Drosophila melanogaster: one gene and its partners. The protein of the gene in region 1 interacts with the protein of each later gene in a pairwise test. Each region holds a gene or a part of one and is shown on either strand. Other genes may lie near its edges. The genes, in order: CG8507, CG32756 and CG13461.

Evidence for each region.
Region 2: the proteins of CG8507 (region 1) and CG32756 interact in a two-hybrid assay, tested with the Drosophila melanogaster proteins (one large-scale study listed by BioGRID).
Region 3: the proteins of CG8507 (region 1) and CG13461 interact in a two-hybrid assay, tested with the Drosophila melanogaster proteins (one large-scale study listed by BioGRID).

Annotation. Positions count from the first base shown.
Region 1 is NT_033777.3:9,789,535-9,793,294, reverse strand, and holds CG8507 (uncharacterized protein), read right to left. Parts: upstream 1,813-3,760; 5' UTR 1,726-1,812; coding exon 1,504-1,725; intron 1,450-1,503; coding exon 1,234-1,449; intron 1,172-1,233; coding exon 961-1,171; intron 900-960; coding exon 538-899; intron 483-537; coding exon 354-482; 3' UTR 197-353; downstream 1-196. Other genes in the region: CG12945 (uncharacterized protein), read left to right, coding at 2,205-2,456, 2,524-2,769, 2,835-2,975, 3,030-3,157, 3,211-3,341, 3,414-3,760.
Region 2 is NC_004354.4:5,943,584-5,947,343, forward strand, and holds the start of CG32756 (uncharacterized protein), read left to right. Parts: upstream 1-2,098; 5' UTR 2,099-2,177; coding exon 2,178-2,336; intron 2,337-2,397; coding exon 2,398-2,583; intron 2,584-2,649; coding exon 2,650-2,788; intron 2,789-2,875; coding exon 2,876-3,110; intron 3,111-3,171; coding exon 3,172-3,760. Other genes in the region: CG12728 (uncharacterized protein), read left to right, coding at 1-28, 90-804.
Region 3 is NT_037436.4:15,051,347-15,054,566, reverse strand, and holds CG13461 (uncharacterized protein), read left to right. Parts: upstream 1-2,076; 5' UTR 2,077-2,091; coding exon 2,092-2,505; 3' UTR 2,506-2,636; downstream 2,637-3,220. Other genes in the region: CG18649 (uncharacterized protein), read left to right, coding at 464-742; CG43680 (uncharacterized protein), read left to right, coding at 1,272-1,421.

The DNA of each region.
Region 1 (3,760 bases):
GGTCATACTAGGTGCGGTCCTACTGGGTGGAGGGAAATACGCGTTTTGTGCCTGCTATCATATGGTCACACTAATTTTATCGTTTTTTTTAACGGTTTATTCTTAACCCTATATTGTACTTTGAATATATTACAAATTTATTTTTTCCACATTGAATTTTTTAAAGGTCAAAATAGATTGTATATAGTTCAAAATTAAACTTGAGATTTTATTTATGTTCAAATGATATTTGGTATCAAAATTATATCTATGCTGAATAGCAGCAAGAATGAATATTTTTGTGCGTTACACAAACAGTTGCAATTAAATCTAATTTATTCGCTTGGCACTTTCAGTGTTTCACTTTCAAATTATTAAAGCTCGGTGTGCTTGAAGATGGTTTTTTCAATGTTCTCCTGGAGCTTCTCCACTTTGCGAGTTTGCTTCTTCAGCTGATCCTCCATTTCCTCAAAGCGGCTGCTTTTGTCCTTCACTTTTTCGCCCTATAAATAATTGTTAGTTGGCTTACAAACTTGATTGATATTAAGAAACATATACCTTGTATTTCTCCTTTTGCAAAGCATGCTCGGCATGCAAGTGACGCAGCTTTAATAGGCGACTTTCGAAGTGATGCAATTCGGTTTTAATGGACTCCAGTTCTTTAACCGTAAAATTGCTAGCCTGGGCCACTCGCCATAGACCCTGGACCTTGGGTTCAATGAAGTCCTGACTGTGTGGACCGGAGGACACCAGGCGTTCCAGCCTATCGTAGTGATCCTTGATGCCCGTGTGATGTCCTCGCAGAGTGTTAAGGTCGTTCTCGAAACTCTTCACGTTTTGCGCATGGGTTTTGATGTCGTTCTCATTGACATCATTCGAAATCAGATTGTAGGTGTCCAAGTCTTCCGTGTTAATAGCATCTAACGAGAATAATCAATGAAATTAATTGATGCTTTTCGTGCTGTTTTTAGCCAAACTCACTTTCATGCTTGTCGGTGTCTACGGTGCCAATGTTTTCCAGCAAGCTGTAGTACACATCCACTTTATCCTGGTGATGGTCAAACTCCTGTTTCAAGGATTTCAATTCCTCTGCAGTAAATCCGGAAATCTCGGCCTTCTCCCAAAGTCGGTTGAGTTTCTTGTCCTTGAAAAGACTCTTGTTTCTGTGTCGCTCCTCGGCGTCGTGGAATTTCTTAAAGTTAACTTGGATGTAGAGAAACTCTTGCTCTTAGGAAAGATGATTTAGATACGTACCTTGTAGGGCTTAAGCTTCTCCGTATCCTGAGTGTCGTCAAAATGCTCTAGCAGATCGTAGCTGCTCATGATGCCAATGAGCTTGCGGCGCAGTTCGTCGGCCTTCAGCCCGTCTTTGTCCTTGTGCTGCGAGTTGAGCTGCTTCCAAGCGATCTCCTCCTTATCGTGGATCTTGAGTTCCATGTACAGTGACTTGAGCTTGGGCTCTGTTAAGCGCTGTAACCGAGGTTAGTACGGTTAAATATGAGATATCTTATGGTGTCCACTTACATTCTGCGCCTTGGCCCACACGAGATTCAACTTGGCCATGCGAAATGGCCGCTGGATGCTCTTAAAATCCGGATCATACTTCTCCTGCTTTACTTGCTGAAAATGCGGGTCGTTGGCCTCCTTGCTGTACTTCTTGCTCTGCTTTTTGTCGGCATCCACGCCCTGCAGTGCAATAAGTACGGAAAGTGCGATGGCTGCAACAACGAGAGCTGACCTAACCATTTTCCTCGTGGTTTTTATTTCGGTTTTAAAGCTTGCAATTATTGGTGCAGTGCTGACCTGGCTAAACAGTTATTCACAACACGCAGTGTGGCCATCTAGCGATCGCATAAAGCTTTGGTGCTGACAGTCTAGCTTTTATTTTATTTTAATGCTTTGTTTTTCGCAGTTACGATTTTTGATCTTGGTCAATTTACAACAATTTGTTTGATTTATTTGATAAAGATGTTTAATAAAAATAATTCAATTTGCAGTAGAAGTGAAGAAAAATCATAAAAGCATGTTTGTCTAATAAATATAAAGCTACATTTTCCTGAAGTGATAAGTAGATATTGCAGCACTGACGTGACGCTGTGATGTTGCTAACTGGACTTGGTCACACTGCCAATTTGCATCAGCCGCCTTACCACGAAATTGCGCTGAATTATAATTATTATCGAGTGCTTACTACCTAGGAGTGATTACATTGAGAAACCAGGACAATGAGAACGGAGGCAGCGGTCAGTTGTTTCCTGTTGGTATTGCACAGGGTATGCTGTCAGAGCGGCAACGATGAGTCCTGGCTGAGTCCGGATCCCGCCTGGTCGGACCTGGTTAACGATATCAATCAGCCCGGTGAATTGTGCCAGTGTCCTACGTGTCCAGATGTGTCTCCAGTGGCCATGGAGGATGCCGTGGCACTCACATACTTCAAGAAGTTCGTCAATCTGCTGTTCCAGCGCAAGCGTTTTCAGGTATGATCGCTGTTTAGACCAAAGTTGGCGACATGACGTCATATGTGTGTAACTTTTGTGTAATTAGTACGATGTTATGTCGGCGGTCCATAAGCGATCGCTGCTCTTCTCCCTGATCCCATCGCAACTGGATGAACTGGAGAGGGTGCAGGATGCTCGGGATTTGGACGTTTTGCTGACTAAGATATTGGAGAGTGCCGAGGAGGCTCCTTTGTTTAATGGAAGATCCGGATGCTCATACGTCCGACACGGCTTTTTCTCCTTATTGGTGGATATTTTCAAGGATGTAATTGAACTGACGCAAACGACCGAGGTACCTGTTGCGCCTTTTTATGGAAACTTGACTATTTGCTATTTAATGGGTTTTCTCATTCCTAGGTGAAATTTATCCTATATGCAACATTAGCAATTGCACTTGTCGTCATTGTGCACAAACGTTTCCGTGTCGGACTAATTTCAATTGTACTAGGAGGCGTGTTTCTGTGCGGATATATTCAGACTTATTTAGAATGCAACAGAGTAGGTCTAGCCTGAAAGTGTGTGAAATTGTGCTCATTATATGTTTATAATTAGGAATTAGACATCGATAGGATGATAGAGGTCGTAAATCATCACCATGAGCCTGAATCGTCCTGGTTTGGTCGACTGTTAGGCTACATATACCAAGCCTCACCAAAAACTAAGAAGATAGAAATGATCAAGTAAGACCATAACATATAATTAAATAAGTCGATTGATGATCGTTTCCATTCAGAAAATCCGCAAAAATCAGCATTTCCATTTGCATGCCAGATCAAGTGTTCTTTATGTACATGAATAACATATTTATCAAGCAGTTGGAAATCATGATAGAAAAGGTGTCGGTAACTATGACTAAACTGTCCTGTAAGTATTTAACCAAGAATTCGCACAGTCAATAATTACCACTTACCACTTAATTACCATATTTACCCATAGCCGGATTATCCTTCCCGTATAACCTCCTTGCACCAGTCCTTTTGGTGTTTTTAGTGGGTTACACCATAAAGCTGTGCTTTAAATACATTTTAAGCCCCCGAGCATGGGCGTCACTTTTACACAAGCCAGCGCCACAAGGGACACCAACGATTCACCAGTCCATTAATGCACGGGCGCCCGAAGGCGACTCCATATCGGGCGACAACTTAAAGATGCTGCTAAATGTAATTAACGTGAGAAATGTTCCAAAGGAGTCGCTACAGCGAATTCCAGACGTTTCGGGCGTCCAAGAGCTAGAGGAAAAGCAGGAAGCTCCCACCACACCATCGAAAAAAGAAAATTTAGAT
Region 2 (3,760 bases), on another chromosome or scaffold:
CAAGCCCAAAAGAAGCTCCTCGCATTAGGTGGGATTGGTACAATGTGTTCACATTTACCGATTAATAAGATATGTTTTCGCAATTGCAGGAAGCGCAAGGCTCTTGAAATCAATACCAATCATATGGAGCGCAAGGTAATGCAGCGCCGCTCCAATCCGCTTGTCGAGTACAAAAGCTCGCAGAGTTCCCAAGAGACAAACGTAAATTTAATCTTAAAAGTAGAGCTAGCGCCAATGGACACCAAGAATGATCTCACTGATGATGACGAAGAGTCATCCACATCTTCGGGGCTTTCCCAAGGATGGTCGGCCAAACTAACCAAATTTAATCCAACCGTCGGAAGTGGTGTATATGAACTTGCATCTCAGGAACAGTATGCTTCTTCTGAAGATGAGGATGCTTCTTCTAAAAATGGGGATACTTCTTCTAAATATGAGGATGCTTCTTCTAAAGATGAGGATGCTTCTTCCAAAGATGAGAATACTTCTTCTAAAGATGAGGATGCTCCGTCTAAAGATGAGGATACTTCTTCTAAAGATGAGGATGCTTCTTCTGAATATGAAGAGGTCACTAGGGAGGCATCGAACGCTTTCAATTTCGTCATAAAGAAGGTTGAATCTTTAAAAGAGTTTTACGATGCCCCAAGGGAACTCATCCAAGAACCCAAAGTCGGAAAGTCCGATCAGAATTGGGATTTAATTCTTCGAACTGTGCTGGAAGATATCAAAGCCGTACTGATTTACTCAACTGAACGCATCGAAAAAGCGATCCAGAGCTATATCAATAAGTTAGCGCAAAAATAATTTGGAAACGATCTCATTCTAAATGGTGCTACAAGCAAAACTTCACACTTAGTACATACGTTTTTTTTTTTTGTTTTTTTTTTTTTTTTTTAGATAAAAACAAGTCCTTAGTGATAAAAGGATAAAATACATGATTCCATTTGTTGATTAGGTATTCGTACCTAAGTCCATCGAACAGCAATCAAATGAAACAAAGAACTGTATAGTGTTGTAGATATTAAAAAGACGTCTTATCAAACACCCTCAGTACACGTACACAAACAAGTTGACAAACACAAATCCTCAGTGATAAAAGGATAAAGACATGATTCCATTTGTTGATTAGGTATTCGTACCTAAGTCCATCGAACAGCAATCAAATGAAACAAAACAATGTATAGTGTTGTAGATTTTAAAACGTCTTACCAAAACACCCTCAGTACACAAACAAGTTGAGTTCCATTGCATAGAAGCAGCAACTAACTCCTATCTCTATGGAACATATCGAATAATATTAAAATTTGTCAAAATGATTGCCCGGAAATTTTCTGGTCAATTATCGACCGATTAGTCAGGGCTTTCCAGCGGTTATAACCTCCTGATCAATGCATTTTATGTTAAATATTTTTTGGCACGATTACTAATAAAATTGATAAAAAAAGAAACGTTTGCAGTTTGAATAAATAATCTTTAAAGTTTGCCTTATCCCATTTGCTTTAGAAGCTTTCAGCCTTTTCAGGCTGATCTAGGATTACAACAGAAGGATGAAAGACAGCTAGACGAGGCTAGTTTTGGATCCTGAGTAATGCTTTCCTGAACCCTGAATTCCCACAATAATGTGTTGTTCCCATCGGTGGGTCACAACTATAACTGATCTACACATTTAGGATCTTATAATATATAATATAATATAAATACATGTCTATAAATACAACCGCGTGGATTAGTTAATTGAAATACGCACAGGCATTCTATCCATGCATTTCCCTGCAGAAAAAGTATTTCAGCATTGATCGTTTTAAGGAAAGCCCTGCGGTTACCTATTATACGTCCAGCCTACGCTCAGACTCTGTTGATGTGGCGTGAACACATAAAGGTTTAGGTACTACTTGTTTCATATTATAATAATATAATAACATTATAATATATAATATAATGCTGTTATAAAGTATATTTGATTTATACTTCTAATGGTTAGTTCAAATAGGTATAGAGTTACATCCCATTTTTGTTGGGAATCTTTATACATCACCATCGTTACCGCCAAAGAACAATCGATAGATTGGTAAGAATTCGATACCTAGACGGTACTATCGATTCTTTTTCATCTCTACGGCGTGCGTCAGTGATGTTTCTTTCCTTTGATTTCTGATCCTTCTAAACGTAACTTCAAAATGCTATTGAAAGTAGTGAATATAAATGGCTTGCAGCACCTGTTCGCCTGCACTGAGGGGCAGCATGATGAAACCCTAACTATTCACGTTTTCCGTCCTCGCGAGAAGTGGACTTACTCCGAGACTTTGATGAAACGCGATTACCAGCAGCGTTTGAAAGTAAGTTTTCCGCATTTTCATGTGGTGAAATAGTGTGAGTGCAACACGTTTTTTCGACCAGACGCTCAACGCGCGTGTGAAGTTTCCCGAGGAATTGGTGCGCCAGGTCCTGCTCAACAAGGATCCATTGCATGTCGAACAGGATTACCAGCACCCATTGAACGTCCTGAAACTGAAGTATGCCATGGCGAATTTCAAAGTTTTCCTCAAGTGGGAATGGCACCTGAGACCCATGGATGCCGCACAGGTCAGTAACTGACTTTAGCAGAATCAGTTCCAAGAACTATAATAATTAGTGCCATTATTCCCAAAGTTGTATAGCCAAATGTTCTTGAACACAATGTCCACGGCTTTGGGACTACGGGCTCAGATACCCCTTCTGCTAGGGATTATCCATGCCAAGGACAAGGAGCTGAACCAGTATCGCACCGAGGGATGCCAGCTGCGCAGAGGTTAGTTAAGAACAAGTTTGCAAATCGAAAGTTCTTGTGCATTCCATTCGCTTAGTTAGTAATCGCAAAACCTTATGCCTTCTTTAGTGACCGTGGAAACCCAGCCCTTTGATCTCGAGGCTTTTATGAATGAGCACAAGCAATTGCTGGACTGTTCCGCTGCCTACCAGAAGGCGCAGAGTACTTTTTTTGCTGATAAGCCATCGCCTAATTGGACATCGCTTTCTTCGCCATGGGCACGGGATGTCGCGCCCTATTCTTCGTCAAACGGCTACTTTGCTTCTTCGAAGGCATCAAGCCCAAAAGAAGCTCCTCGCATTAGGTGGGATTGGTACAATGTGTTCACATTTACCGATTAATAAGATATGTTTTCGCAATTGCAGGAAGCGCAAGGCTCTTGAAATCAATACCAATCATATGGAGCGCAAGGTAATGCAGCGCCGCTCCAATCCGCTTGTCGAGTACAAAAGCTCGCAGAGTTCCCAAGAGACAAACGTAAATGTAATCTTAAAAGTAGAGCTAGCGCCAATGGACACCAAGAATGATCTCACTGATGATGACGAAGAGTCATCCACATCTTCGGGGCTTTCCCAAGGATGGTCTGGCCGACAACTAACCAAATTTAATCCAACCGTCGGAAATGGTGTATATGAACTTGCATCTCAGGAACAGTATGCTTCTTCTGAAGATGAGGATGCTTCTTCTAAAGATGCGTATACTTCTTCTAAATATGAGGATGCTTCTTCTAAAGATGAGGATGCTTCTTCTAAAGATGATGATGCCTCTAAATATGAGGATGCTTCTTTTAATGATGAGAATTCTTCTTCTGATGATGAGGAGGTCACTAGGGAGGCATCGAACGCTTTGGATTCTATTAATGATTTTTACGATTACCCCCCGGCATTCACTCAAGAACCCGAAGTCGGAATATCCGAGGGGAATTTGGATGTAATTCATCAAATTGAGCTGGAA
Region 3 (3,220 bases), on another chromosome or scaffold:
ACAAGCTAATGTGCTATGAATCAGAAAATAAGAATATGGAGGGCCATTCCCAAAATTTGTAAACAATTGTAGGTGGAACAGTGGTTATTCTACAAAGAAATAAAAAGGAGTCATTAATTTGATATAGACATTTTCATAAGCAAGTTAACTATGGATTATAACATGCTGTGTTTGCTTTCCTTAGGTTATACAATATATTGTATATAAAAGTATGACGTTAGCCACGTTTCACTGTAATCTTTATACGTTCTCCAAGTTCCGTCAGTCAAATGTTTACGCACGACTTTGCCTCATTTTTTGACGCTCAAACCAAGGCAACAGCTGTCGCGGGGTAAACACAAAACGAACCAAATAAATTGTCACAATGCGCGCTTTTATTTTTCTGCCAATTTAGAGATTTTGCTATAAAAGCGTATTTTCAATGTGGAACTGAACTTAGTTGAAAACTAAATTTGACAATACAATGCGTGCCTATTTGCTGCTTGCCCTGTTTGGATGTGTGCTTTTGGCCACAGTTTCCGCAAATCCGGTGGACATTGACGACTTGGAGGACCTCGAGGAGGACAAACGAATTGCTGATGAGCAGGATAATGCTAACGATGATGAGAAAGACGATGAGGATTCAAATGAACCCGAGTCCGACGACGACTTAGATGAGCCTGAATCCCCGGAGGACGATTCCCAGAACAATGATGATTCCGAAAGCGACGAGAGCATCCAGTACAATCAAGATGAAGAGTAGCTCTAATGGGAATTAACCCTTTCTATTCTTTATTGTCTTTATCTACACGCTTTCACCGGTCGTTAGACGTTTAAACAACTGTTTACACAGAAATACACAGTTCATCTTCAACAACCAAATAAGTAAAGGTTTTTATGTTATTCTAGTAAATACACACATTTCTGGAAACACCCATCATAATTGGTGCTTTTTACTTAACTTCTTTTTATACAGCTCTTAAATGATTTTGTAAAGAATTACATACTAAACAAAATCTTAAAAATGCAATTTTTATTTAATTAATTGGCCTCAAAGCCACTCTTAATACTCTTATTTCAGCGCAGGGAAAAAGAAATAATTTTCTGCCTGTAATGTGTGGCTCAATAGATCAATAAATGTTTTATCTCTCAAATATTTACTTAACATTAGTAAGGTGCAGCCATTGTGCAGTTTGCAATAGAAATTTTAAAGCAAACACGGCATTCATATATAAGAAGTGCAGTACTTTGAAAAAACTTATTCAAAGAAGAACTAAGTCTACGAAATAGAGATGCACTTTCTGATGGTACTCGTGATAATTGCTCTTTTGGCCATGGCCTTTGTGAGTGCAAGCCCACTTCCCCATCCAAGTGGAGAAGTTATCGTTATTGTCAACCCAAAAGCCCCAGTTGACTGGTGCTCTACAACATCAGCGGCTTAAATTCGAAAATACAAAAATATTTAGAAATTCTCCCCCGATGCAATTTCTCAAACACAAAATATGAAATGAGCAACTGATAAATCACCAATAAAGAAAATAAAAATAAAACTTATTCAGGGTAAAACTTTTAAATACGTTTTTTGGTCTTTATAAGTTAAATGAAATCAATAAACGTTTTGAAGTTCGATTTGGAGATATCAGATTTTTTATTTTGCTTTATATTAGCACATATTACCACGACGGAAATGAAAATCCTTTAGGCGAAGTAAATAGTAATGAAGGTAAGAAAATTTGTATCTAATGTTTTAAAAAGGCCAAAAACCATTCACTATCTTTTTAATTCAATGATTGCATGCGAGTGTGTAATAAATATGACAAAATAAAAACAGAGGTCGCTATAGTCAAGTGCCACGACTATTAGATACCTGTTAATCAGAATAGAGGCAAGCACAACGAACCCACTTACTCAAAACAATTCTGGACAATTCCCAGAATAATATCAATTAAGATTGTGCGTCACCACGCAATAATGGGATAAGCATTTGTTCAAATATGAAATTCGTAAATGACTCGTTCAAATAACAAAAAAAGGCATTTAATATAAAAAGCGATTGATCGAGTAAAGTTTCAAATCAGTTTAAAACTTCGCTGAGCACAAGAACACAAAAAAATGCGATTCCTAATTGTCGTTGCTCTTGTGGCCTTTTTGGCTGTTGGTCTTGTGGCTGCACGGCCAGCTGAGGATGAGGAGTCCTCCATCCAGGATAACACCAATGAGGATTCGTCCAGTAATGATGGCGAGGGAAACTCCGATGCTGCCGAGGAAGAACCTGCTGTTGAAGAAAGTCAAGATTCTGGAAATGTGGATAACCAGGATGATGAAAATAGCGAGGATAATCAGGAGGAGTCAGATAATGAATCAAGCGGAGATGATGAGGAAGATAACAACGGGTCTGATGATAATACCGAATCGGATAATAATAACGATTCAGAAGGCGATCAGGAGCAGGATGCTCCACCCAACAACCAGATTCGACCATTCGGACCTCTTCTCATCCAAGCAAGGCCCCTTTTCCTCGATTAATAACACGTGTTTTTAAAATATCCATTAACAATAAACATTAGACAAAATGCTTTAAAATTATACAACAAATAAAACAGTAAATAAATTAAAGCTATATATGTCGATCGATATGAAAAAACGCCACAAAGTATATAATACTTTTTGCAGAATTTGTTTAGCTTGAGGGGCTTGTCTACACAGTTAAAAAAATTATATAGAATGAATACGCTTTCATACCATCAGTTTTTAAAAAAATGTATGCTTAAATGTCAGTTAAATAACAGTCTTTGGTATTTAAAATCTGGCCACAAGATTTTAAATAATTTGATTTTGCTAATATGCTGATATTATATATATAGTTAAAGTAAATTATTTCATTTAAAGTACCATAACACAAGATAAGCTGTATGTCATAACCCCAAGTATTTTCGTTAAAATCCCGTGTTACAGAATTGCTTTAGCAATTTTTACGGCTATTTTATTGTAAAACAATATATCTCTAAAGTTTTTGACTGCCATTCCCAGTGATATTATAGCAACAATGATTATATGGGGAATTTGAATAATTTCGTGCTACAGAATTTATATATTTTCAAGTTATTTTTAGTGCAAAGAAAGCTGCTTATGATATATGCCTCTCAGTTCCTAAATATATCTCTTAAATTGTAGTTCACTTACATCGTCAGGTGACGGAAGAGTTGGCAGATAAAACTGCAATATTTACTTTTGTACATAT